Linked DNA regions of Canis lupus familiaris. The protein of the gene in region 4 interacts with the protein of the main gene of each other region in a pairwise test. Links are inferred from orthologs where the notes say so. Each region holds a gene or a part of one and is shown on either strand. Other genes may lie near its edges.

The links.
Region 1: the proteins of EXOC1 (region 4) and DISC1 interact in a two-hybrid assay, tested with the Homo sapiens proteins (2 studies listed by BioGRID and IntAct). The link is inferred for Canis lupus familiaris from reciprocal best matches to the Homo sapiens genes EXOC1 and DISC1.
Region 2: the proteins of EXOC1 (region 4) and NUP54 interact in binary tests that used the Homo sapiens proteins (3 or more experiments, as listed by UniProt). The link is inferred for Canis lupus familiaris from reciprocal best matches to the Homo sapiens genes EXOC1 and NUP54.
Region 3: the proteins of EXOC1 (region 4) and GOLGA4 interact in binary tests that used the Homo sapiens proteins (3 or more experiments, as listed by UniProt). The link is inferred for Canis lupus familiaris from reciprocal best matches to the Homo sapiens genes EXOC1 and GOLGA4.
Region 5: the proteins of EXOC1 (region 4) and CEP295 interact in a two-hybrid assay, tested with the Homo sapiens proteins (2 studies listed by BioGRID and IntAct). The link is inferred for Canis lupus familiaris from reciprocal best matches to the Homo sapiens genes EXOC1 and CEP295.
Region 6: the proteins of EXOC1 (region 4) and TRIM9 interact in a two-hybrid assay, tested with the Homo sapiens proteins (2 studies listed by BioGRID and IntAct). The link is inferred for Canis lupus familiaris from reciprocal best matches to the Homo sapiens genes EXOC1 and TRIM9.
Region 7: the proteins of EXOC1 (region 4) and SRGAP2 interact in a two-hybrid assay, tested with the Homo sapiens proteins (2 studies listed by BioGRID and IntAct). The link is inferred for Canis lupus familiaris from reciprocal best matches to the Homo sapiens genes EXOC1 and SRGAP2.

Annotation. Positions count from the first base shown.
Region 1 is NC_049225.1:8,197,899-8,201,398, forward strand, and holds part of DISC1 (disrupted in schizophrenia 1 protein), read right to left. Parts: intron 2,367-3,500; coding exon 1,372-2,366; intron 1-1,371. UniProt on the Homo sapiens protein: Involved in the regulation of multiple aspects of embryonic and adult neurogenesis. Required for neural progenitor proliferation in the ventrical/subventrical zone during embryonic brain development and in the adult dentate gyrus of the hippocampus.
Region 2 is NC_049253.1:39,421,719-39,425,218, reverse strand, and holds part of NUP54 (nucleoporin p54), read right to left. Parts: intron 2,310-3,500; coding exon 2,122-2,309; intron 1,249-2,121; coding exon 1,052-1,248; intron 1-1,051. UniProt on the Homo sapiens protein: Component of the nuclear pore complex, a complex required for the trafficking across the nuclear membrane.
Region 3 is NC_049244.1:7,424,008-7,427,507, reverse strand, and holds part of GOLGA4 (golgin subfamily A member 4), read right to left. Parts: intron 3,125-3,500; coding exon 2,969-3,124; intron 1,276-2,968; coding exon 1-1,275. UniProt on the Homo sapiens protein: Involved in vesicular trafficking at the Golgi apparatus level. May play a role in delivery of transport vesicles containing GPI-linked proteins from the trans-Golgi network through its interaction with MACF1. Involved in endosome-to-Golgi trafficking.
Region 4 is NC_049234.1:48,896,399-48,899,898, reverse strand, and holds part of EXOC1 (exocyst complex component 1), read right to left. Parts: intron 2,652-3,500; coding exon 2,424-2,651; intron 2,221-2,423; coding exon 2,088-2,220; intron 1,438-2,087; coding exon 1,328-1,437; intron 562-1,327; coding exon 508-561; intron 1-507.
Region 5 is NC_049242.1:7,153,158-7,157,279, reverse strand, and holds the start of CEP295 (centrosomal protein of 295 kDa), read left to right. Parts: upstream 1-1,322; 5' UTR 1,323-1,326; coding exon 1,327-1,462; intron 1,463-4,122. UniProt on the Homo sapiens protein: Centriole-enriched microtubule-binding protein involved in centriole biogenesis.
Region 6 is NC_049229.1:27,693,587-27,697,792, forward strand, and holds the start of TRIM9 (E3 ubiquitin-protein ligase TRIM9), read right to left. Parts: upstream 2,801-4,206; 5' UTR 2,615-2,800; coding exon 1,793-2,614; intron 1-1,792. UniProt on the Homo sapiens protein: E3 ubiquitin-protein ligase which ubiquitinates itself in cooperation with an E2 enzyme UBE2D2/UBC4 and serves as a targeting signal for proteasomal degradation.
Region 7 is NC_049259.1:3,089,612-3,093,639, reverse strand, and holds the start of SRGAP2 (SLIT-ROBO Rho GTPase-activating protein 2), read right to left. Parts: upstream 2,801-4,028; 5' UTR 2,641-2,800; intron 963-2,640; 5' UTR 420-962; coding exon 353-419; intron 1-352. UniProt on the Homo sapiens protein: Postsynaptic RAC1 GTPase activating protein (GAP) that plays a key role in neuronal morphogenesis and migration mainly during development of the cerebral cortex. Regulates excitatory and inhibitory synapse maturation and density in cortical pyramidal neurons.

The DNA.
Region 1 (3,500 bases), on a different chromosome or scaffold from region 4:
TGAACTGGAAAAGAGACACTGAGAAAGGCAAATATGTCAAGAATCTCTTACAAAACCCACGTTAAAAATAACAAGGACTTGAACCAGGGCAGAGGCTGCGGCTGTGAGAGGGAGGTTAGCTGCAGGACTATGAGGATGAGAGAGGTGTTGAAGATGCTTGCAATTTCTCTAAAAAACTGAACGGATGCTCTTAATTAAAATCAACAAATATATGTACCAAGACTAGGGCCCTTTAGAACAGGTTTGCTGGGGAAGACAATGACATCAATTTTGAACACATCTAACTAGAGGGTTCTGTGCATCACCTGGGAACAGAGCCCTGTCTGCATATCCAGCCTGGCTTCACAATCTCCTTGAGATATAAATCATATGGCTGGGGTCCCCAAGGGCTGGCACAGGGCAAACAGGGACAGGGCCAGGAACATCAGGCCACACATAAAGATTTGAAAGTAAATGAGATGCAATTGCTGGAATGAACATGACCTTCACATTTTCAGGTATTTCCACCAAATGCCTGATGAGTAGCTGTTCTACTTCCTTGTGGATGTGTACAAATGTCAGCACACATACACACACATCATATGCACACAGAAGGAAAATGCAGTCACATAGCCCAATGGGTCAGCCACAAAGCATCTCAGGCTGGGTTTCTCTTCGGATTTTTTGGAGGTAGAACAACCCTGCCTATTCACAGTTGTAACCACCTCTCTGATAACAGGGTGCACAACACACTCATGATGCCAGAGTTTGCATGTATACAGCCCCCCCTAGCTTCCAAAAGCCCTTAGCTTCTCACTGCAGCCACAGAAAATCCCATGCAAGGTTACCATCTTTAAATAAGGAAACTGAGAGCCTGACCAAAGTAATGACCAGGAGCAAAGTCTCCTGGCTGCGTCAGGCAGGGCCCACTGAGCAGGATGAAATGCAAGGGCTGCAGGAAATGCAAATGAAGCTCAGCCTCACCCCCAATATGGTGCGTCAATCTCCATCTTCACACCACTCAACCACAGGCCAGCCAGCCCCAGCTCCCCTGCCTCTGCCCCCAATTCCCTGTTTCAAAGCAGAGCTGGGCAGAGCTAACCACACATCACGTAGGCCAGGAACTGCAGAGGAACCTGCTGCTCAACACAGAGCAAATCTGAGCATTCAAGTGACAGAGAAGACAAGAACAAGAACAGATTTGTGTGCAAACAGAAAGAGAAGAAACAGAACTACGGCAACATCTTTTTGCCGTCAGTTACAAAAGGAGCTGCTGCAGCTCCCAGAGGGAAGTCGGTGGTCAACCCCAGAACTACTCATTTCCTGCCTTCTGCCCAAAGCTGGCCTGAGCTCGTGACACTCGCGGGCCCCCAGAGGCTGGGAGACACCAACCTCCAGCTGCCTCCGGTCGCTCAGCAGGCAGTCCAGCAGCACAGGCTCGCACCTCCTGAGCAGCGTCTCCCAAAGGTGAGCCTCCCCCAGGCTGCTGCCCTCAGACCGCCAGGGGCCTGGGGAGCAGGAGGAGGCAGTGTCCGTGTCCAACAAAGAAAGCATGTCACACTCCGGCCTGTGGCTGCCCCCTGTGGTCTGGGCAGAGTCCGCCAGGCTGGGAATAGTCTTGAGAGTGAAGTGGGGAGAGAAGAGTCGAGGATGTTCGTGGGGCCTGTCCATGCTGGCAGCCTTCACTTCCGCCTCCTTGGGGCTCTGACAAGGGGTCTCAGCCTCTCTGGATGGCAGGCAGCCTTCAGCTTCTCCACGTTCCCCAGCAGAGCCAAGTGAGAGCCGTATGAAGCTAAAGCTTGACGTAAAGGCATCCTGAGAGCCAGCAGGGGTTGGGGGGGCCTTGGGGACACTTCCAAGGCTGTAGCTGCTGCCACTTGCCTCCTCTGGAGACAGACAGCCTTTTGTCCAGGTACCGCCTCCAGCAGCATCCCGGCCAGGACCTGGAGCCTCAGAACTGTCCATGGATGGGAGCTCCCCCTGCCACCCAGTGTCCCCAGGGCCACACGACCTGGCTGGCCTGGCAGGTGGCTTGGTGCCAGCTCTGAGCTGAATCCCAAAGAGCCCCGAGGGCCTTCTCACAGGGGTCAGAGCCAGGCCTAGGTAGCCCCCAGAGGTCGGAGCCGAGGCTGCTGTGCTCCTAGGAACAGGGCTCCCAACCGAGGGGCCTCGCCACTGGCCTCCAGAATCAAGGCCACACCGTCCGGCCCTGGACTCAGACTGGTGGGACTCCTCACCGCACGCCCCTCCCTGGGCCTGGAACGGAGCGGCCACTGCTGGGTAGAGGAACCCGATCCGGGGCCCAGCTGCACTTCTCATGTAGCCCGGCCTCCGTGCCAGCCGCCTCCTCCGAAAAGACGCTGCAGGTGGTATGCAATCCTGGCTGCCTAGGAGGAAAAGAGAAAACAGCACCATCAACACGCAAAGCTCACTGGCTCAGCTGGAACTGCATTTGGAGAGCATCTTAGGTTTAGAGGTCGCCGCTCTGTGTATCTGTCAAAGGGAGATGCTGGCTCAGTGGTCACGGGGCCAACCCGGGACGAAGATTCTGACGATCTTCTCCAAGTGTTTGCCTGGAATGCACAGAAGAAACACAGCGTCTCCGCTCTTCTGTTTAGCAGAGCAGCTGGCGTTGCTGTGAGTTATGCCAGCATGTCAACATGCCCACTGGAGTTACAACCTCGCCGGCTCCTTCTGAACCCTCTGGCATCTTGCCTATTGGGCTCTTAGGCACCGCAGCACTTTTATCCCAGAGTGGGCCTGAAAGCAAACAATTGGGAGGCAAATGCCAGCACACTCCTCAAAACAAGATCCGATCGCTTATTCTAGCTCCTTATTGAACAATATGTGAGTTTTCATTATCTGAGCTCTCCGTGTCCCAGCACGTCTCTGGACCATGGAGAGCCAGCTGGGGCACAATTTATGGCCATCAGTTCATCTCTCACAGTGGACCACGGGAGGCCCTGCTTGATGTGCTCAACAAACCAGGGACTATGTCCCCCTCGAGCTCTGCAAAAGGAATAGAAACAATAAAAAATGCTGATAGCTCTCAGGCAGGATTGTATAGCAGTTGAGAGCAGACTCTGGCACCTCATTGCCTGGCTTAAGCCCTGGCTGTGCCATTGCTGCCTGTTCACCTCCACAAATTACTTAACCTCTCTGTGCCTCAGCTTGCTTCTCAGTAAAATGGAGACATTACCAGTACCTCTCTCGCAGGGTGAGACTTAACTAAATGAGTCACTAGAGGTAGACAGCCTACAACAGGGCCTAGCACACATAAGTGTGCTGAAGATGTTAGTTATTATTTCTCTATTGCACAGCACATTGGTACTCAGAATATGGGCATCATCTACATTAATTTCATTTGCTCCCTACCAAAGTTATGCGAATCAACCAGACTAGGAAGTATAACTTCCTTAAAGGAACTTCCTGTTCCTTCTACAGTTAAGGAAACTGAGGCTCAGAGAAATTGGCATTCAGAAACCCCTGCAAGTGACTGAGTGACCAGCATCACAGTCTCC
Region 2 (3,500 bases), on a different chromosome or scaffold from region 4:
GTGGGTGATGGTCACTGAGCAGGGCACTTGATGGGATGAGCACTGGGTGTTATGCTATATGTTGGCAAACTGAACTCCAATAAAAAGAAATTTAAAAAAAAAAGGAAGTACTAAGAAATACTATAGCTGAAAAGGCAAGTTGCAATTGATGTACAGTGCAGAATCCTTTTTTTAAAAGGATTTCCATATATATATATGTTATATTAAAATCACAGATAAGGGACTAATAGAGGGCAGCCCTGGTGGCGCAGCGGTTTGGCGCCGCCTGCAGCGTTGGGTGTGATCCTGGAGACTCGGGATCAAGTCCCACATCGGGCTCCCTGCATGGAGCCTGCTTCCCCCTCTCCCTGTGTCTCTGCCTCTCTCTCTCTCTCTGTGTGTCTATGAATAAATAAACAAAATCTTTTAAAAAAATAATAAAAAAAATAAAGGACTAATAGAGTACAATCATTAGTAGTAGCTATTTCTGTGCAAAGGAGATAAAGGGTCTGTAATACAGTCCATCTAGTTATGCCATCTATAATCCTTTTCAATGAGAACACTTTTTTTTTTAAAGATTTTATTTATCTGTTCATGAGAGACACAGAGAAAGAGGCAGACACAGAGAGAGGGGAGAAGCAGGCTCCCTGCGGAGAGCCCGATGCAGAACTCGATCCCAGGACCCTGGGATCACGCCCTGAGCCAAAGGCAGATGCTCAACTGCTAAGCCACCCAGGTACCCCTTGTAAGAACACATTTTTTAGATTTTACTTGAATACTCAGAACAAGAGATAAGTTAGAAACAAATAAAAATATTAAAAGTGAATTATCTTTGGGTAGATGGATTATGGACCATTTTTCTTTGTTTATTTTCCAAAATTTCTAACAAACATATTAGCTATATAATAAAAAAGCTAAATGAATACATACGATAAAAACATTTAAAACTTTGTCCCAAATTAGCAGACATAATAAACACTGGTTTTATTAATAATCAACTAATACATTCCAAAATAGAGGAAGCTTATATATTTCTAAATATTTCATTTCAACTCTGTGACTAAAAACTTACCAGCAGGAGGGTTCTGTAAAAGTTGTTTGATTTGTGCAGGAGAAAGTTCAGTTCTAGTCATAGAAAGGGTTATACCAAGTTGCTGCAACTGTGTTTTTATATTAGTTTGTTCAAAATGGGCATATAGTGTTGTAGCTGGAACTCTTCTTGAAGTACCATTTGGAGAGCGTTCAACAACGTAAATGACAACTTCTGTCCTGGGGGAAAAATAAACAAGTTATAAAATAGCACACAACTCACAGATACAACTCAGTAACAGTGCAGCTGTGATTTCAGAAAGGTGCTAGCTGAATTCAGAAATCGTCATTTTAGAAGAGAATTAAAAGAGTATTTTCTTAAATCTTGGAAAATGAGGAACCTTTACTTATTTAATATTATGTTCACTTACAAATCAACTTAAATGATAACAATAAAATTAAAATGAGACAGACATTTTAATATTTGTAAAAGGTTTGCTTAGCTGCAAAGTCCTATGTAAACATTACTATCTTTTCCAGAATTGAGAAGTACTTTGGAGATCCTATTGAAGCTTATCTCACATATTATATCTCACTAAGGAGCATAAACAGTCATCAGTTAAAACTTTCCAGTAACATCTTTGTGGCCTTTGATTTGTATACACAGCCATGATTACTGTTTCTTCCTGTTTCTGAATGAAAAATCTAAAGAATTATTAGCATCTGATAAATTAAGAACTCCAAGATTAAGGGGCGCCTTAGTGGCTCAGCCAGTTAAATGTCTGACTCTTGAATTCAGCTCAGGTCAAGATATAAGGGATGTGAGATCAAGCCCCGCATCTGGCCTCCACACTTGGCGTGGAGCCTGCAAGATTCTCTCTCCCTCTGCCTTTCCCACCTCTAAAAAACAAAAAAATTCAAGAAAAAAAAATGAACTCCAAGATTAAGAAAAGAAGCTTTTAAACAAATGTTGCTATAAATACTGAATAATCACTAGTTGAGTGATAACATTCTGCTTTAAGATTTAATTTGTGCTTTATCAACAAAAATGCTGTTGGATCACTCTCTTTGGACCAAGGCACACAGAAATAAATATATTTAACGTATACTTACTGATCATCTGGCAATGTTTTAATACCCTCTACATTTACAGTAAGTGTCTGGTTTCCTCCCAAAACTTTATGCAATGATTCTACCAACTGCGGTTGCTGGCTTCGAATATCTGTTTCTTTTTTGTTGAAAACTAAAACCAGTAGCCCATCTTCATCTTTATTATTGGGCATACAACTATATCCTACTGCCTGTAGAATGACAAAGTAAACAAAATTTTTAAAAATGTACAGATTTTACATCAGATGTTTAATATTAATACCTTAAATACCTGCTAAAACAGGGAAAACAGTTTAATATCTACTAATGAAGAGAATGATTCTTCCCACCACACTGTGCCCTAGGTCATGACAAAAGTATAGAGAAACTATTTTACCCAAGGATAATATAAACTTATAGTGAAATTAAAATGTCCTCTTTAACAGTAACCAAATAGCTTCTCCTCTGAAGAACTTCGATATTCATTATTGTTGAGTGTTCCTGAACTCTGATGAAACAATTCTGCATGTCATTATAAAAATGACTGTTTCAAAAGTCATGGACCAAGACCTAATTTATTTTGCTATATTGACTTATGGAATCTTTTTTTTTTTTTTTTTTTTTTTTTTTAAGATTTTACTTATTCAGGAGAGACACAGAAAGAGGCAGAGACACAGGCAGAGGGAGAAGCAGGCTCCCTCCGGGGAGTTCGATGTGGAACTCGATCCTGGGACTCTGGGATCATGACCTAAGCCAAAGGCAGATGCCCAACCATGGAGCCACCCAGGTGCCCCATGACTTACGGAATCTTAAACTAAGTTTTAGATACACAAATAAATGATTTACTATACTTTTTTTTCTGAATATAAATATTTTAAAAATAGAACACTGTCAAACTTACTATAAAGAATATCTACATCATTTTATGGTTTCATGTAATATGAAACTTTATGAAAAATGTTAGTTTTTAACATAATATTAAATATGACAAACTATACCTTTCTAAAGAATTACTCTTTTAGATAGAAGCCTCTTCTCTTGTCACCATTTATAATGCAACTTTAAAAAAAAGAAACAGGGCAGTCCGGGTGGCTCAGTGGTTTAGCGCCGCCTTCAGCCCAGGGCCTGATCCTGGAGACCCGGGATCAAGTCCCGCGTCGGGCTCCCTGGATGGAGCCTACTTCTCACTCTGCCTGTGTCTCTGCCTCTCTCTCTCTCTCTCTGTGTGTGTCTCCCATAAATAAATAAAATCTTTAAATAAAAAAAATTTAAAAAGAAAAAAAAAAAAAGAAACTATTTATTTATTTATTTGGGTAGGCAAGGGAAGAGGGACAGAGAGAATCTCCAGCAGACTTCCTGCTGACTGAGGAGCCCTACACACAGCTGCATCCCACAACTCCAAG
Region 3 (3,500 bases), on a different chromosome or scaffold from region 4:
AAGCTCTAGAACCGTATTTTCAAGCTCTTTTTTAAGTTTGGCTTCCTGATCCAGTAATTTCTTCTTTAACGTTTCTTGCATCTCTTTTGCTTTCTGCTTAATTTTTTCCATCTTTTTTTCTTGATTTTTAAATTTGGTTTCGTATTCCTCATGTAAAACACTAAAACTGTCCTCCTTGGCTGATAATTTTTGTCTAAGTGTTTCAATTTCTTTGCTCTGTCCTTCTCTCATTTGTAAAATTACATTTTCCTTTTCTATCAAACTCTGTTTTGTCTGTGCCTGTTCTGTGCTAGTATCTTTAAGCTGGGACTCATAACATTGGGTTAAAGACTGTAGTTTTTCCTCCATTTCATTTTTCTGTCTTTCAAGTTGCTGCATTAAATCCTGCAACTGGATTTTTTGAGTGTCTAACTCAGTACAAACATCTTTCTTTTGCATTTCAACTTCAGCTACCTGTTTAGTAAGAAGAATTCTTTCTGCTTCCAAGTCCAACAACTTCTGCTGCAATTGTGCCAAGTGCTCCTCTGATGCTTTGGCCTGCTCATGTGTAGTACTCTGCTGTGACTCAAAGAGAGCCAACTTAGCAGATGCCTGCTGGAGTTCCTCTTCAGACCTTCTAATATCTGCCTCTAAGTTTTCCACACGTACCTGATGCTCTTTCAAATGCTTGTCCTTTTCCTTCAGAAGAAGCCCAAGGTGATTAATTTCATCTTTTAGTGCCTCTTCAGTTCTCTGGATGGACAGCTCTTGTTCTTTAATGATACTGTCAACTTGCTGCTGGTGATGGCTTTTCTGTTCATCTAGCTTGGCCTCTAGCTCCTGTTTTACTTTATCTGCTTGATTCTTTAGTACAGAAAGCTCCTCTTCTAGCTTGTCCCGGGCCTTTAGTACCTCTGACAGTTCAGAAGACAATGATTCCAGTTCTGTTTGCTTCACATCAAGCTTTTCTAAAGTCTTTTCATTCATCTCTTCTATGTGGGCCTGGAAGACACTCTCTTTGTCTTTCAACAATGTTTCTTTTTCTTGTTCATGCTTTTCTCTAAGTCTTTCCATTTCAGTCTGATGCTGTTGCGTTAAGACTTGGAGTTTTTCAGTCCAAAGGGTATCCTGCTGATGCTGCAAGCTTTCTAATTCTGTTTTGTGTTTTTCAACCATGATTGTAATTTCTTTATTGTGCTTATTTTTTTCAGCTTCCAAATGAATAATTAAATCCTCAGATTGATTTTTGCTTTCTTGCAAGCTTTTTTCCAAAGAACTTTCCAATTCAAGAATTCTCTGTTAATAAAAACAGATGTATTTTTTACTAAAGTACAGATTTGTTTATTAGCAATGATATATATGACAACACATGTAATGATATATATGACTACACCTATAATAACTACACCTGTTTAAAGATTAAAACTTAGAAAAATAAGGCATTATATCATGCCAAACACTAGAAAGCACAATCTGTGCTCAATTCCTAAAGGAATCACATAACAAAGAAAAGATTCTATTTTAACACAACTTAAAATTTCAGATTCTTTCTACCTATACTTTAACTATTTCAGTCACCCATGTTTTCAAGAATATTCTGAATGGATAGTTAAAAAGAAATACATCGTAAAGTAGATAATAGTAACTATGGATAGTAAGATGGTTATTTTTTTTCTGTGTGTTTTTTAAGGCCTAGAATATATTCTATTACCTTCATAATTTAATTTTGGAAGGTAAATAATATATCTGGGTTTTCCACTGCAAAATGATTATTTAGGAGATATCTTTTGCAAAAAGAAGCTACTTACACAAATTTTAGCAAAGATTACTGTTAGCTCATGAAAAAGTCAATCTTGACTCTAAAGCAAAAAGAGCTAAGTAAGGCAGAGGCATGCAACATCAAAACTGAAAAGGTCCTAAGGAATTACCAAAACCAATTTCTCCATATGAAGGTGAACAAATTAAGGTATAATTAATTTACAGGGCAGCCTGGGTGGCTCAGAAGTTTAGTGCCGCCTTCAGCACAGGGCCTGATCCTAGAGACCCGGGATCGAGTCCCATGTCGGGCTCCCTGTGTGGAGCCTGCTTCTCCCTCTGCCTGTGTTTCTGCCTCTCTCTCTCTCTCTCTCTCTCTCTGTGTGTGTCAAATAAATAAATAAATGGATGGATGGATAAAGAAATAATCTTTAAAAAAAAAAAAAAGAATAGGTATCACCATCCCCCAACCCCCACTTAAAAAAAATTAATTTACAAAGCTAGCAAATGGAAAAATCTAGACCTCCTGAGTATCCATTCCCCTCCATCATGCCACATTACATAAATGTCGGCAATGGGAAAATAAAGTACAGTTTAGAATTATGGGGAAAAAGTGTGATTCTTTCACTGTTTAAACCAAAGCAAAAAGTCTAAATAACATCAGTCAATTTATTCAAAACAGGTCATACATTTCATATACTGCTGAGGGGAGGGCCTAAAAATGTGTACCCTGAGACATATATATAAATTTGTTCACTATAGGATATGTTATTAACATGGGAAAATTGGGGGAAACTTTATGTTAAAAGCAGGGCATTGGGGTGCCTACATTGTGATAGAAACAGAGAATGAATCATGTCCATGGCATGAGATGAAGCCAGGGCAAATGCTGCCTACAAAGCGAGGCCATTTCCTACAGATCAAGGGCAAGTAAACAATGGAGTGGGGATGCAAAGCCCAAATGCAAAGATAGTGAATGGCAATAGAAACACCTCCAGCAAAAAAAAAAAAAAAGAAACACAGCCAGCTAAAGGCAGAGTCAGCAGCATCATGTAGCAAACACTAAAACCACTCACAGAAAAAGCTCTTATTATCTAAAAATGAAGTGCATGTATGTAAATCTAACCCAGTAAAACAAAAGCTTCTTGACAACTTTATATTGATTGGAAAGATAACAATAGTTTCTATACAAATAATTCCACAACTCTGGAACCTGAATATTATTTAAACTTACAGTTCTGTAAGTCTCTGCTTCTTGCTGAAGGTCCCGAAGTTTATTTTCACTCTCCATGAGGATTGCTTTCTTCTGCAACTCTAACTCTTCCAGGGCCAAAGATTCTTGCTGTTCTTTTTCTTGGGTGATCTTCAAATATTCTGATTGACTTTTTTCCTGTGCCAAAAAAAAAAATACCACCTTAGACCCACATAAATCTTCAGCATTCTCAAAGTACTTCCACAGGAATCAGGTCTTTCATTTGATCTGCACACCAGCTCTATGAGGTAGGCAGTATCATCATTTCTCTCTTCCCAGGCTCTAGTGTGCAGAAACAAAGCACTGTGGCTTTTCCAGTGTGATCTAGCCAATATTTGCCACAATTACTACTGATAAGAAAAATTTTGTTCTAGTAACCCCACTACATCTGCTATTTTTCCACTACTTAAAATGTTTTGCAAAACACGCTTAATGTGAAGGCTCCCAAAATTGTCACTGCTACTTCTCTCCACTCCAGAGTTTGATTATTTCAACTCTAAGCCAAGAAACTAGA
Region 4 (3,500 bases):
ACTTTTTTCTTGATATTTTTCAGGTCAAGTGAAACGTAAAGAGAGTCTTCCCCAGTGTCTCCCTCACACCCTCAGCTAAGATGGTCTTCCTTTATGTTCGCGCATGTGACCACTATGATAATATTTACCCTTCCTAAGTATATCTACCTCCCTCTCCTAGACTGTGAGGCACTGGAGGACAGGATCAGCTCCTCACCTAGCCTAAGAAAATGGGTGGTATGCATCCCAATCACGTGGTAAAATGTTTCTAAATAAATGAAGGAGTGAGTGAAAGAACGACAGGAAGAGAGAGGCAAGCAGAGGACATGAAATGCCTTTTTGGCCAAAATAACCTTTTTGCTATGGGACATTAAAAAACTGCTATAAATATGGTTAACAGGCAGCTTAAGTCAGTAAAGTTATAATCTATAAAGATTCTGCTGCTGTTAAGTTTAGCAAACTTTATAGACCAAAAAAAAAAAAAAAAAAAAAAATCAGAGAAGCTTGAGCCAAATTTGATGTACTCACAGGCACCGAAAGAAAGTAGGACCTGTTATAGAGTTGAAGGAGGGCCTGAGTAAACTAATTGGAAATAAAATATAGTAAATACAATTGTTTTAGAATACTGCAAAGCGAAAACAAAATAAGAATTCAATGTTTCAGACAGCATTTCTTGATGAACGAAATTTCGCAGTTTTTTTTGTTCAATAACCTTAATAAGAGATGAAAAGCATAAGAAACCTAATCCTTATGCCAGATTAAAATACCTTCTATTCAAGTCCTGCTAAAGTACTCTTAATATTATTAATATTATTGCCACAACCTAAGCTATCAACCTCCTTTTCCATATAAAAATGTAGACAAAGGGTTTATATAAAATTAAATCAAATAGAACTTAACAACTGAGTGATACTTATTTTTCTCATATGAAAATACATACAGCCAATGAAACATTTAAAATATTGAATCAAGTTCTGGTTCTCATCTCGAAATATTGAAAAATAAAATAGGCCAAGTAGCAAATATGTAACAAGTTTGGATGTACTTTTATAAATAAAGAACATATAAATGGTATATTTAATAAGTAAGCATAATTATTTGATTTATTTGATTTCTAGAATCAGACAGTTTTAGCTGCAAGGAACTAGACTGCCTAACTAAGGAAGCAGTTGAGGGCCAACACACATCTATGAGTAAATACTTAAAAATCTCAAAACTGGATAAATGTGTGAAGGAATATACTGTGGTCCCAATTAAACACATTACAATTTTTGTGGAAATTTAAGTTTAAAGTAATATATAAAAAAGCTACAGAAACATGCCACTTTTATTAATGAAATAAAATTACCTGCTGAACAAAAACATTGTTGAGGTGACTGGCCAGTCTCCGGGCAAACTGCTCACGCAAATCACTGAAACGCTGCTGCTGCTGTTTGACTGCCAGCAGCATGTCATGGCCTGAAACCAGAACGTTTCTTGACTGATTTAATAGGTAAAAGGATTTCTCTGATCTTCAATGAATACATTTATAATAGTATCCATATTTCATTCAGTTTTGAAGAACCCAAAGTTTTATTGATTTATTCATTTGCTTTATAAAAAAGGTAAGCAAGAGAAGAAAATGGTAGAACACAATGGTTCTCAAAGTGTGGTCCTGCCTCAGCATTATCTGGAAACTGTTGGAAATGTGGATACTAGAGCTTTGGCCCAGACCTACTGAATCTGGAGGTGAGGCTCAGCAATATGTGTTTTAACAAACCCTCTCCATGATTCTGAGCAAACTCAAGTTTTTGGAATGACTGACCTAACAGAACCTCAGCTCTCTGGTCTAATCAAAACACTGACTTTGTGCAAGGTCTGTGCATAGTACTAAAGAAAAATCATGGTGTTAACTAGAGTCACTGATGATCAGTCATAGGAACTGAAATGAAAAAGTTCTTAGTGCCAAAAGAAGCATGTTCGGAAAGAAGTGAAACTAGTTTGAGGACCTAATACTACAGTCACCTTAAACCACTTGCCCCACGTTATTTCTTGTTAAAAGCTTTATAGCAAATTACAGGCTTAGTCTCAGATCCTTGGTCAGATTTTATCATTTCTAATGAACATACCTGGACGAAGAGCTACATTCATGCACTGCAGAAGGGCATCAGCGGCATTGGTACAGGCTTCAATGCCTCTAGAAGAAGCAAGATCTCCTTCCTGAAGGGCCTTTATATGACCTTTGGCCAGGTCCATGTGGTTCTAGAATATATATAAATATACCATTTGCACATGTGATTTCAGGAAATTTACAAGTAACATGCTACTCAAGCCTATCATAAGGTCTTTGGAATTATTTTAAATCTTACTCTCATAAGGAAATTGATAAATGTTTACAATAGGGTTTTATATATTATTAGATTTTTTTGGTTTTTGTTGGAGGTGGCAATTTACAAAATACTCACCACGAGAAACTCTATTTCAGAGAGGAGTTTTACATTATTAGTGTTACTAAGATGAATTAGGTGGTTGCTTTCAGAGATCTGATCCATTTGTTCCTTTACACTTTGGAGCATTTCCTCATAACTGCTCAGTTTCAACTCAATCTGATCTACCTCCTTTAGAGCCTCATCCAGCAACTTCATCAGAATGTTCACTTGCTTTTCAGAGGCCATGATTGATTGGATGTTGGCCTACAAAGTGAAAAACAAGAGTAACTCTTCATATTATTTAAATGTATAAAAGAAGCATAAGATGAAATATTGCTAAATCCCTTTGACAGGTGAGTAACAAAGATTGATATGCATCTACATATTTATTTTAGTGTATCACTCTATCTTTATGTTCCCTTTTTACACAGTGTTTCAAGAAGATACACTTGCCTCTCTATCAAGGTTAGGGACCATTTCTTAGTATTTTATATTTCCCCAGATTGTACAAGTAGGGTTCTGCCCCACATTGTATCACTGGTGTTGACATATTACCATTTCTGACACCTCCAATTCTACCAGCTATAAAAATTTTCTATACTTACGTTTTTGTAAAAGGCTTAAAAAAAAGCATAATCACCTGTGTAATACCTTAGTCAAGAGGGTAGCAGTGATATACCAGTCTTTGAAGGATACACTGAACTAATTCATAACTGTAGTACAATTGGTACTTACAGGATGTGGAAGAGCCATGACCACATGAGCACAGACTATATATCCATAAGATAGCTCCTTCTTTTGTCTTCTTTCTTTTCTTTTTCATTTGCAATTACTGTATGTTTTTTTCCAGGCAAAACAGGAACAAACCACCATCCCCTTATCATTGTTTTCTAAGTGATTCTGACTATTGATTCTAAATTTCCTGAAATATGGAAGCTGTCAAATCCAAAATAAAACTGGGAAGCAACATGATAACTTGTAACAAATATCCAATATTAATTACAAAAGAAAATATAAACCACTAAGCCACACTAAGAAGGCAGGTAACTAAAAAAAAAAAAGAAGGCAGGTAACTGGGTATGAGGAAAAAACTTGGACCAGGAATGAAAAGAA
Region 5 (4,122 bases), on a different chromosome or scaffold from region 4:
CCAAGTCTAAATGCTAGCACGATTCTGTGGGCTGTCTACCATTGTAGTCATCCACTTATTGCAATCACACAATGCAAGAAAAATTCAACACGTCCAGAGCTGAGCTCATCACCTTGCCCACTTCACTGACTTCTGATTTCTCCCTTGGTTGATGGCACCACCATTAACATTGTTGGTGGCCTATGAAGTTACCTTCACTCTCAACTTTTCCTTCAACTTCACATGCAATCTTTAGCCAGCACTACTAATTTTGCCCCCTAAATATTCTACAATTCCTTTGTCTAGATGTCCCATAAATAGCTCAAATTCCAAATATTCAAAGCTTGACTCATTACTTCCCCCCTTGAACCTGCTCCTCTTCCTGAGTTCTAGCAGGACGTTACCCCCATCCACTCAGCGGCCAAACATAAAACTTAGGCGTCATGGTTGATCTCTCCCTCTCCTTTGCTTTCCATAACCAGGTAACCACCAATTTCTGATGTTTGGCCTTCTTTGCCTCTTAAATATACCCACTTGTCTCCATTTCTCGTTGCGATCACCTTTTACTTCCTGTAGTAGTTCCTAATTGGTTTCCCTGCCTTGAGTGTTCAGCCTTCACCCTCTCTGGCCTCTTCTCCACCACGAAGCCAAATCTGATCATGTCAGCAACTTCTGTCTTCCCTACTCCCCATATTCTAATTTTTTTTCTTTTTGTTATGTTTTACCTCCAGGCTACAAAATCTACGATAGGGCTTGGATAGTCCATTTACCCTCGTCTCCCCTGCACTTCCCACACCGTGCTTGGCACATGATAATTGTTCAATAAATATGAACTTGCACTCATCCCCTTCTGATGCCAGGTTATTTGTAGCAAGTAAACCTGGGACATGTTCTAGATGTACTGGCTCTCCGGAGGCACAGAGTGCCACGATCTGATTCACCGGTGTGCGAGCTGGACCCTTCCTGAGGGCCATGGGACACTAAGTACAGGATAACGGCCCCGAATGAACTGTAGAGTCGGTGCACAAAGGGATACACATGCCGAGGCATCTTCCTAATAGGGCTTAAAATCAAAGGCGTCGCCAACGCTCTGGGCCAATATCCCCCCTTTCTGGACCTCGTCTCCCGATCCGTAACGGAGCACAGCTGAGGCACGGCAGGCAGCACCGCAGCACACCTGAGAGCCCAGCCGGGGAGCTGCGAGGAATAATGGGCCCGCACGTAGGGGTTGGCGCATGCGCGGGTTCCCCCCTCCCCCCCCCCGGCGCGGCCTTCCCGGCGGCCCTCGCGGGAGGCGGGACCAGGCCGATGCCCGCGGCTCGGCCCCGCCATTGGCGGGCCGTTTGAATGGCGGAAGTGACGGGCGCTCGGCGATGGCTGCCCCGCAGGCGCACAGACGGCGGTTGGGGAGCTGCAGGGCCGCGGGCGCAGGGGCCTTCTCCGTGTGAGCTGCGGTTCCTGACTCCCGGCCCTTGGTACTCGGGTGAGTGGCGGACGCCGGCTGCCAGCGCCGGGGCGTGCACAGGTCCCCGGAGCCAGGAGCTGGGGCTGTGCTCCTCAGGCAGCGGTGCCGAGAGGCCCGCGGTTCTGAGGCCCCGGCCGGCCCCGGCGGGCTGCGGTCGGGGAAGCGTGCGGGGAGGGGAGGCGAGCGCGGACGCACACCGGCCGCTTGCTGCGAGGGGCTGCTCCCGGGCGCAGGCGCGTGTGGCCGTCCGCGCCCTCCCGGGGCGGGGGTGGGGGTCGCGCGAGGCCCTCGCGCTTCCTGACCCGGGGCGGCCCCGCGGGCCTCGGAGGGAGCTCGGCCGCAGGCGCTTCTCGATGCTTCCTGCCTGCCCTTCCCCCGGGACCCCCGCAGACGTGGCCTGAAAGCTGGGAGCCCTTGGAGAGCACTGCCTGGAATTGTTTCTTGCAGAGAGCGTGCTCTTTTTTTGCTGTCTCTCACCTTTAATTTGTCCGGTAGTTAGCCCTGCCGCAAACTGAGCTTTTAAAACATCGGGGTACACTCTGAGTATTTGGCAGTTTCACATTAAGCCACGTGATCATCAGGACAACCTGTTGGGGACGGTGTTATGATTCCCATTATGTAGTTTAAGAAAATGAGGCCATAGTAATTTGAGACTTCTCCAGTGTCTTCCTGCTTGTCGGTGGTCATGATGAGTCTTGAACACACATCTTCTTAGTATTTTGTGGTTACGAAATGCCAAGTGCCATTTAATCCTCAGGACAAAAAATCTTGAAAGATAAGTTAGTATTCTCTGTTATTGGATAATATTAATACACGGAACTTAAAATGATTTAACAAATAAGAGAGGAGCCGGGGAAATGCTTCCCTAACAGTAGGATTCCAGTTGATAAATGTAAAAGGGATAATGGAAATAGAAAATGCTTTTTTTTTTTTTTTTAAGAAAATGCTTTTTGGTAAACGCTGTAGTTAATGCTTCAGACAACCCTCAGTGGATACGAAGGAGCAAAGGTATAATCAGAAACATGATATTTATATATAGCCTCAACTGTCTCTCTGGGTACTTATAAAAGTGGAGAGAACTGTGGACACCACTTAACCACGGTTCAAAATAAACATCACCAGTGTAGTAAGACACCTTAACATAATTTAATGTGCCGAGAAAGGGTGCATCATCACATCTTCACTTCTGTGGTGTTTTTGCCAAAAATGTGTAATCTTAGTCTAACCATGTGAAAAGATTAAGCAAATCCCAGTGGAGGGACATTCTACAAAATAACTGGGTGACAATTTCAACAACCATGAGAATGTAATTCACAGACCTCAGCTTCTGTATATTCTGAAACCCATTTGCATGGATGCTTCCCAAAGGCTGTTTCTGGCCAATGACTGAGAATGGCATGGGCACTGAGGCGGACCTCTTCCTGAGAAGCAAGGGACTTTCCTTTAAGAACTCCGCCATCTTACCGAATCTTCTTTAGACTGCATGGCAGTCATCTACCCAACCTTCCCTGACATTGACATTCAGTGACTGAATGACACTGACATTCATTCAGTGTCAGATTTGCATGGAAATCTGAAAAGCTTCCAGCGTTTATTCCCTCCCATTTTCCCTCACACAGACCTTTCTCTTAATAAAATTTTTGTAGGCTTAATCCTATCTTGTCTTCTGCTTCTTGGAAGACCCAGAGTAATACAGCAGTGGAAAGCAATGGATTGTCCTTGGATGGATCTTAGTTCAGAAAATGGGTGTTAGTGGGATACTTAAAATCTGAATAAGGTCTGTAGATTAGTTAAACTATTGAGCTCGTGTCCATTTCTTGGTTTTGATCATTGTGCTGTGATTGTCGTCTAGAGAAGCTAGGGAGAGTATGTGGGAATTCTAAGTCTGAAATTATTTCCAAATAAGTTTAACAATTAAGAAAGTTATATGCAAGAGAAAAGTTACTCTACCGCATCTCAGGAGGTAAAAGTAACAAATGTGTGTTTTTGTATCATCCTCAAGCTAATGAGATGATAGATACTCAAAACAATATGAAATTTTTTCCCCTTTTTTATTGACTGTAACTTTAAAATACACAACTCTCTGGCAGCCTGCGTGGCTCAGCGGTTTAGCGCCTCCTTTAGCGCCTCCTTTGGCCTGGGGTGTGTGATCCTGGAGACCCAGGATCGAGTCCCGTGTCGGGCTCCCTGCATGGAGCCTGCTTTTCCCTCTGCCTGTGTCTCTGCCTCTCTCTCTCTCTCTGTCATGAATAAATAAATAAAATCTTAAATAAATAAAATAAAATACACAACTCTAGGGGTGCCTGGGTGGCTCCGTCGATTCAGCATCTGCCTTTGGCTCAGGTCATGGTCCTGGGATCAAGCCCCACATCAGACTCCCTGATCAATGAGGAGCCTGCTTCTCCCTCTGCTGCTCCCCCTACTTGTGCTCTCACTCTCTCTTTCTCTCTCAAATAAATAAAATCTTTAAAAAAGTTCACAAATCTATCATTTGAAGAATATTTACATATGTATATACCTGTGTAATCATTACACAGATCAAAATACAGGCCATCTCTAGCATCCCTGCAGGCTCCTTTGTGCTGCCTCCTAGTCATTAACCTACAGAAAAGTGAGCCCTGTTTTAATGTCTGTCATCATGGAGTAATCTTGCTTGTTTTTGAACTTCATATAAATGG
Region 6 (4,206 bases), on a different chromosome or scaffold from region 4:
GTGCCTAATAGGGCTCAAATTTGTGCTGACTTAAATTTCCATCAGTACGAATAAGATTTAATAGGTTATATGTGAGAACACAAATAACTGTAAACATGGATCACATTCAATGAATACTAAATTGAGAAAACCTCCCTGATGGTTGAAAATGGTGATATCTTACTTCTTTTCTTGCTGTAAATAAAATATCAATGTTTTAGCCTTAACCCCATGGTCTCTCTCAAAGGCTAGCCCTTCTAGTCTCCAAGAAATGCTAGGAAACCCTGAGTGGGACATAGTTGAGGCCTGGACACCATCTTTACTCCCCTGCCTGATCCTTGGGCTTGCAGCTCAATGATATGAAAATCTCCCTACAATAATCCCGAACTCCTGCCCTACCCTTTGCATCCCAACCAAGCAAATTATTTAAAAATTAAAAGTGAAATTTATACACATCTCCTTCTTTCTAAGCAGGGTGGCTTAACATTATTATAAACATCTTTTTCCTCACAAAGCTTACTTTCTCGTGTGTGCAGAAGGAAGCAATAGATAAATACGAAAGTAACAGTGAAAATATATAGCATGCCAGCTAGCAGTGTCTGAGGCTAGTGGCAGCAACTGTATTTAGAAGGGTTTCACTGCAAAGGTAACATCTGAGCAACAATCTGAAGGAAGCAAGAGAGTGAGCCGTTGGAAGATAGGGTTTTGGGTAAGACTGTCCCAGGCTGAAGGAACATCAAACGCAAAGGTCCGGGGCCCGAAGCTGTCTGATGTTCTTTGAGGGACAGTGTAGCTGGGGAGGAAATGAGGTCCATGAGGCCAAATGTGAACAGGTCAAGCAGGTCCTGGTGGACCATTCTAGGGACTCTCTAAGAAATGTGGGGGACGATTGGAGGGTTTTGAGCAGAGAAGTGGCATACCTAAACCTAAACGTTGTTAAAGGACCCTTCTTGAAGCTAGCTTTGGTGGGGGCACCGTCCAAAGAGACAAGAAAGGTAAGTCTGGTGGTAACAGGTGCCTCAAAGCTTGCAAAGACGACTACTGAAAGGGGGAAAGGGTTGACTCCTGGACAAAATGCCTGTGTGGTGGTTGGGAGGATGGGGTTACCCTGGGTTACGCATCTGCCTAGCTTTCAGGCCTAGACGCAGAGACCTCTGGTCCCGCTACTTCAGCCGCAGGTCCCTAGCTCCAGGGGCGGTCAGGACCCGCAGCTTTGTTGCCGTGGCGACCACAGGATTCGACCCCCACCCCGCCGCCCCCGCGCCACACCACTCCCGGGTCTCCTGGGGCAAAACACCCGGTCCTGCATCTGCTCCAGCGAGGACTCATCAGTATTCCACCCGCGGAGTTCTCCCCGCCCCCGCCGCGAATCCCAGAGCCCGCCAATCCCGCAGCTCCAGCCTTGGCTGTTCTGAGCCTCCCCACCGCCCCCACTTGGTCTCCGAGGACCGCAGCCGGATCTGCCCCGGAGCTCTCCTGGCAGCCCCCCCCGCGCGGCGCGCCTCTGCCCAGTTACGCAGCGCTTTCGGGCTCGTTGGCGGCGGCCGCAGGCTGCGCCTCCGCGGCAGAGAGGGCACCCGGGAGACCCGTTCTAAGGCGTCCCCGCAACAACTCTCCGGGGATATTCAACTCCCCTGCGCTCGGTTTCAGGTCCTCCTGCGCTTCTGCAGTGCACCAGACGGGGGAAGCAGATACAGGAGAACCTGCATTGCGCCCCCGCTGGGATGCACGGTGCGCAGAAAGGGGACCTTCTGCTGCAAAGCCGGAGGATCGGGGGCGCGGGGAGTCAGGGGTGGGTTTTCGTAGGACTCACCTTGTGCAGTTTCCACATGGCCCCCAGAGCTTTGACTTCGTGGCTGGAATGTTTGCCCTCCTCCAAGCACTGGTAACACACGGGCATCTTGCACTGCACGCAGTACATGCTGTGATTCTCCAGCTCGTGGTCTGTGCAGGTGGAGACCTTGCGCGGGCTCAGCCGCCGGCTCACGCGGCCCTGGGCCGGGGGCACCAGACGGTGTTTGGCTAGGGGCCCTCGGGGAGGGTGGCAGCGCAGGCGGCACGGATCACAGTAGAAGACATCGCACTGTTCGCACATGACAGTGGCCTCCTTGGGCGCCTTCTCGCAGAGCTGGCACTTGAGGGCTGCGGCTTTGCTCTGCTGGTAGCGGTCAATTACCCCTTCCAGGACGCGGTTCTTGGGGAAGCCGCGGAGCCCCCGGTCATCCAGTATGAGGCTGCGGTGGCACTGGGGGCAGGTGATACAGGAGTTGCGGGGCACCGGGGCCAAGGCCGGTGACAGGTGGGTGGCCGGTGGCGGCATAGCCGGGGGGAACACGCGGACGCCATTGGGGGACTTCTGGCACGGAGTAGTGGGGGCACTGGCGAAACCCCCGTAGGAGCCATAGCCGCTGTCCGCCTCGCTGTACAGGCTCATCTTGTCCAGGTCCAGATAGTCATAGTCGGAGACCCCGGAGCCCGAGGCCCTGCGGCTCTGGGGGGATTCAGACTCCGGGGTCTGCACCAGGATGTTGCGGGCGCACGCTTGACATAAATTGTGAGAGCAGGGCAAGATGATGGGCTCCCGATAGAAGGAGCCGCACACGGGGCATTTTAACTCTTCTTCCATCTCTTCCATGAGGACCGGGCTGGGAGCGAAGCAGCGGCGGCTGCAACGGTGCCTGAGCGGGCGAGGCGGCCGACCGGCCTGTCGTCTCCAGCACCTTGGCCAGCGGCGGCGGCGGCGGCGGCGGCGGCGGCGGCGGCGGCGGCGGCTGCGCCTTCCCGCGTCGATCAGGCGCCGATCCCCGCCAGGCGCTCTCCCCGCGAGCCGCTCTCTCTCTCTCAGCCGCGGACCCGCGACGCGGCGCGCCAGCCGCGGACCGCCCCCCTCTGGTCCCGCCCTGCCCCGTAAGCCGCGGCCCATTGGCTGGCGGCGAGAGGGCGAGGCTCTGATTGGCCGCGCGCCCCGTCCCTCTCCTCTCTTCCGCAGGCCACGGGGGCTTTGGTAGCCGACGCTAAGGAGGAGCGTCTCCGCTCCCGGCTGCAGGATCTCGGGAGGGGGCGGCGTGCGGAGGCGAGGGACCGGGAAGGAGGAATTAGGCGGGATGACTCATCCCTCGCCCCGCTTCCTTCCGACCTCCGGCGCCGTCTCCCAAGAGCAGGGGGCGTGAGAAAGCCCTCCCCGCAGCGAGCAGGCCCACGGAGGGGGCCGGGGCTGCTCGCCAACCGTCTGCGTTTGGCTTCCAGCCCTGGTCCCCGCGCCGACCTGTACCGCGGGCGAGGGCCGCGCGCCCGCCAGACCCCTCCTTCCCTTCCGCTGCCCGCAGCCTGCCTGGGCCCGAGCCTCCCCCGGGCCCGGGGTTTTGTACCGCCCGGCCCCGGCGCTCCCCATCCCGGGAGCCTGCAGCCCCGGGCGGAAAAGCCCCCAGGAAGGGCCTCTTTGCTCCTTTCACCCTCACTGCCTGAGGTCTAAGAGGGGAATTAAGAATACCGATTTCTTAGTGTTGCCATGAGATTGCAGCTAGGTGACCGATGTAAATAAAGGCTCAGTATGGTAGCTAAAAAAAAAATCTCTAACTCTTCATTTCCCGCTTAAAAATCAGGCTCGGCCCAGAGGCTTCTCCGGGCGTGGTGTGAACCTAACGGTGTGAACGTGCCTGTCTCCCCTCTTCACCCTCCCTGCCTCCCAAAGCGGTGCTGTCACGGGGCTCTCGCACCTGGCCGAGCTTTCGCAAGGTTTGAGGCAGGTCAGGCAGGGTTGCCTATTGCTCAGCGCCTACAGTTCAGTAACTAGCTGCAGACGAATCACTGTGTCACTGCGGAGTCTCAGTGTTTGAATCCAAACAGCATTATACAGTGTCACGTGGCCTGAGCATTTATCACAGCTTCAGAATGGTGGGTTCTTTCTGTTTCCTCCTTTGAAGTGCACGGGGGTCCTCGTGGAGGGGTGCAAGTAGGGGGATGGGGGCTAGATCTAGGGGTAGTCCTCATATATTAAGCACCCTTCTCCCTATCCCCAAATATTGATGGAGATATCTGGTCCTGCCTCTCGCCCACAGAACTGTTCATTTGATGATGGAGGAGGAAGAGGAACTCCCCTCGCCCCTCCAAAAAAAAAAAAAAAAAAAAAAAGAAAAAGAAAAAGAAAAATCTTTGAGTCAAGTGACAGTGACATTCTGAGATAGCAGCCTATTTGAAAGAGTACGTGGCTGCCTTTTGCTGAGTGAT
Region 7 (4,028 bases), on a different chromosome or scaffold from region 4:
TCAAGGAAACCTGACCCAGACACCCAGAGGCAAACTGCCACCTTTCTCTCCCCCAAGAACCTCCCGCCCCTCCCCCCACCCTATCTAGCTTGTGGGAGAGGGCTGCCAAAATCAGGGCCAGCCCTTACAAGAACAAACCTACAGCCCACTCTAAAAATTCCTTTCCAGAGCCGGTGGCCCCTGGCACAGCCCATCCCTTGGAGGCTCAAACCCACCTATGAAACCACCTCTGGGCTCAGCCTGCCCCCACCTGCTCCACCCAGAGAAATGAACATCCTGCAAATCAGGGTGGAAATACATGCCTCAATGGTCCACAGAGCATATGCATCATGCAATTTTTCAAAGCCCTTACCTTTGACCTGAGTATCGTACTCTGCTATGATCTCCTTATCCTTTTTGAATTTGGCTGGAGACGTCATGTTTTCCTTCTTTCTTCCAAATTCAAATTATGAATTGATAGATCCACGGGAAAAATCCAACCACCGAAATCAATACCTCCAAGACCGCTTCTCCCAAGGGCAGAAGGGGCCCCCCGCGGTGGTCTCCAGCGCTCCGGGGAGCGCGGGCTGCGGGCTGGGCTGAAGGCTACGGCGGGCACATGCAGACGGTGGACGCTGGGGCCGGGCGCGGCGGCAGCTGGTTTCTGTGCTAGAGCCGGAGCCGCAGCCTCAGCATTAGCCGGGAGAACTGCAGCGCCCGGAGGCTGGCCCGGGGTCTGACATCAACGACTGAGGCAGGGAGTGGAAGTCCTTCCGCACAACATGGTGTGGGGGGTGCGGGGGTGTGGACGCGCCCAGCTGTGTCCCCGGGAGGGAGTGGGTGCGTAAAAGGGTGCCGGGGGAGGGCTGGGCGTGCTTCGCGGGTTTTTGTTGCACAGGCTCGAAGATGCTGCAAATCAAATCCCAAACGGGAGCCGCAGCAGCGCAGACTGGATCGGAAGTCGTTTGCTCCGGTTCACTTGCCTGTAAATGCAGGGAAAAGGGGAGGGGGCGATGAGCCCCAGCGCAGATCCTAAGCGCGGCGGGGGTGGGGTAGGGGACGTCGTTCCGAGCCGGGCCTTGGCCCATTCATCTCGGCCAAACACCGCCCGGCCCACAGAGCCCGGCGCGGCGAGGTGCGGAGGAAGGAAGCTCCCTCCGGATTTTGTTTTAGGGCTGGAAGAAAACACTTTGGAGCAGCCGCCTGCGCGGGCTTCGGGTGGGGACTGCGGCGGGAACGCGGGGCTCCGGGCGGGGACTGCGGCACCTCGGCGGCCTCCGAGCCCCGCCAGCGCTGGGGAGCGGCCAGCCGCGGGGAGCACCCTCCGCAGTGGCTCCGACGCGGCCCCTGACCCCGGGCTGGGGCAACTCCCAGGACATCAAAAGGGATCAAAGCCAGGGAGGGACAAGCCACCCGGGCACAACTTTTCTTCCCCTCCCGCCCCTCCTCCCAGTTGTTTTGTTTTTGGTTACTAGCTTCTCTTGGCAGCAAAATGTTTGGGGCGGGGGGGGGGGGGGGGGGGAGGAGACCTGCAGGAAAAAGCCTGCTCGGCACGGGGCACATCCAGGAAAACAATGTGGTCGACAGAAGCAGGAAACGGGTTAGAGGCTAGGGTCGGAGTCGGGAAAACCCGGAGGCGGGGGACGGGAGGCAGCCACCGCCTCCCCCCAGCCAGGGACCAGAGCGACTCTTAAATGCCACCCCCAATATTTTTTTGTCACTGTGCCCGGCCAACCCGAATACCGCACCCAGACCCAGGCTGGGGGGGGGGGGGTGTTGGGAGGGTCGCAGTCCCGACTCCTCGCACCAGGAGGTGCCGGAGGAAATCCCGCCCTGGCCCAGGCCCGGGAGGCGGGAGGGAAGCGGCGGGAGCGCAGTCGGCCGTCAGGCTCCCCACCGTGCCGCGGAGGCGCCCCTCCCTCCTGGGTCGCCCCTTACCCTCTCCTCGGCGGGGGGCGGGGGGCGGGGGGGCTCCCGCCGGGGCCGGGGCTCCCACTTCCCGCGCGGGGAGGAGGAGGGAGCCCGGGCGGCGTGCTGGTTCAGGCCGGCAGGAAGCGGGGAGGGGTGTGAGGTGGGGTCCAGCGGCTGCACCGGAGCCGGGGATAACGGGAGCTTCGGCGCGCGCCTGCGGGTGGAGAGAGGGCGCAGGGAGGGCGGCCTGGGCGGCCGGGGCGGGGGGGAGCGCGGGACGGGGGGCCGCGGCGTTACAGGGGCGGGAGTGCGGGCAGCGCGGGGGCCCCGCGACGGGTCTGCGAGCGCGAGCGCGTGAAAGGAGCCGTCCCAGGCGGGCCGGGGGCTGGGTCCCGGCTGTAAGGCGGCTGGCGAGCGGGCAGCCGATGGCTACGGGTGACGCCGGCGACGGCTGCCCAGCAGTGGCCGAGGCTGCCCGCGCGCGGAGGGCTGGGGAGCGGGCCGGGTGCGGGCTGCGCGGAGGCACGGTCCCAGGGCAGAGCCCCGCTGTGCGGCGACAGCATCACGGGCTGTCCTGGGAGCTCCGGAGAGGGTCGGGGGGGGGGGGTCAGAGGGGTTCCGGGCGGCACCGCTGGGCGACGCCGCAAGCAGCATCCGCGCCCCGTCCTTCCCGCCCCTGCCCGGGTTCGTCCAGTCAGGGCTCCAGCCCCGCGGCCGCAGGAGGCGAGGGGAGAGGCAAGGAGCCTTTACCTGGCTCTGACGCGACGGGTCTCGGGCCCCGGCTCCGCTTCCCACTCGGAGATCTCCTCCCCTCTTCCCCGCCACCCGCTTCTACGCAGATCGGTCCCCTCGTCCCCAGAGGAGCCTCCGCCAACTCCGCAGGACCCCGCCGGGAAGCGGAGCCCGCCCCCTTACCAATCAACGCCCACTTTCTATCGACCGATGGACCCGGGAGCCAATAGGAATGGCCGATCCCGCGAGGACGGGAATGGGGGGAGGAGCTGGCGAAACCTGGAGGCGGGACTAGCCCCGCGGAGGCGTGGTCACAGGGTAAGCTCCTCCCAGAGCCGCCGAGCCCCGAGGTAGAATTAATGGGCGGGATTAAAAGGGAACCAACAGCCAAGCACACGCTCTTGAGGGAAAGCACGACCAATTGGACCGGGGCAGGGAGGAGGGGCGTTGCGGAGAATTGCAGCTAATGGAGAGCAGAGGCCGGCGGGCCCTGTGGGAAGCCTCCCAATAAGAGGCGCGAAGGGCGGGCCTCGCCGCTTCCACGGGGGCGGCAGGAGGGCGGGCCCAGCCTGGCCGCCGCCCAATGAGCGCAGAGGCGGAGCCAAGCTCGGCCAACCAGAAGCCGCGCTGGTCTCGGCACCGTTGCGGAGGCGGGGCCTACGGTCTCCGAGCCACTAAGATCTCTGCAGCCTCCCGAGCCGGCCAATGCGGGACGCGGGCGAGCTCTAGTTCTCCCAATCGGTGCGCGGCGCCGGCAATTCAAACTGACAGCCGGTTGGGAAGGCGGAGAGAGCGGAAGAGCGAGCAGAAAACGACGCGTCGGTGACAGAGAGCCCGGCGCCCACTGAGCCCCACAGGCGACCTCTGACCCGTCCCGCCGGCACCACCGCGCGCCCCGAGCGGCCGCTCCGACGGAGACCCAAGGGGCCGGCGGGGCCGCGGGGGACGGAGCGGGGGGACGGCGCGAGAGCCCGCCGGCGCGCCGAGGGCTGGGGCGGGGGCTGCCACGGGGGAAGGCGGCGGAGGGTCCCGGGAGGACGGAGGCGACACGGGCTGCTCCCGGGCGGGGGCGAACCGAAGCCCAGCGGATTCCCGGATCCCGGCACGCGGAGGAAGACGTGCAGAGAGGCGGCGTGGTCGGGGACGCTTGGCCGGCGACCGCGGGCGAGGAATTAGAGCGCTCCGGGGAGGGGCCTGCGGGGGGGCGGGGGGGCGCCCCGCAGAGACCCGGCGGGAGGAGAGCTTGGGGCGGGGGCCGAGGAGTGCAGCCGCCTCCCCTCTCCGCACCCCACTCCCTCCCCCGAAAGTTACCAGGAAAGCCCCATCTGCTGCTTCGCCCTGTTCCTCCCCAATAAACATTGCTCTCACCGCCCCCAGGGAAAACAGAAAAGGACTGGTCTCCTTCC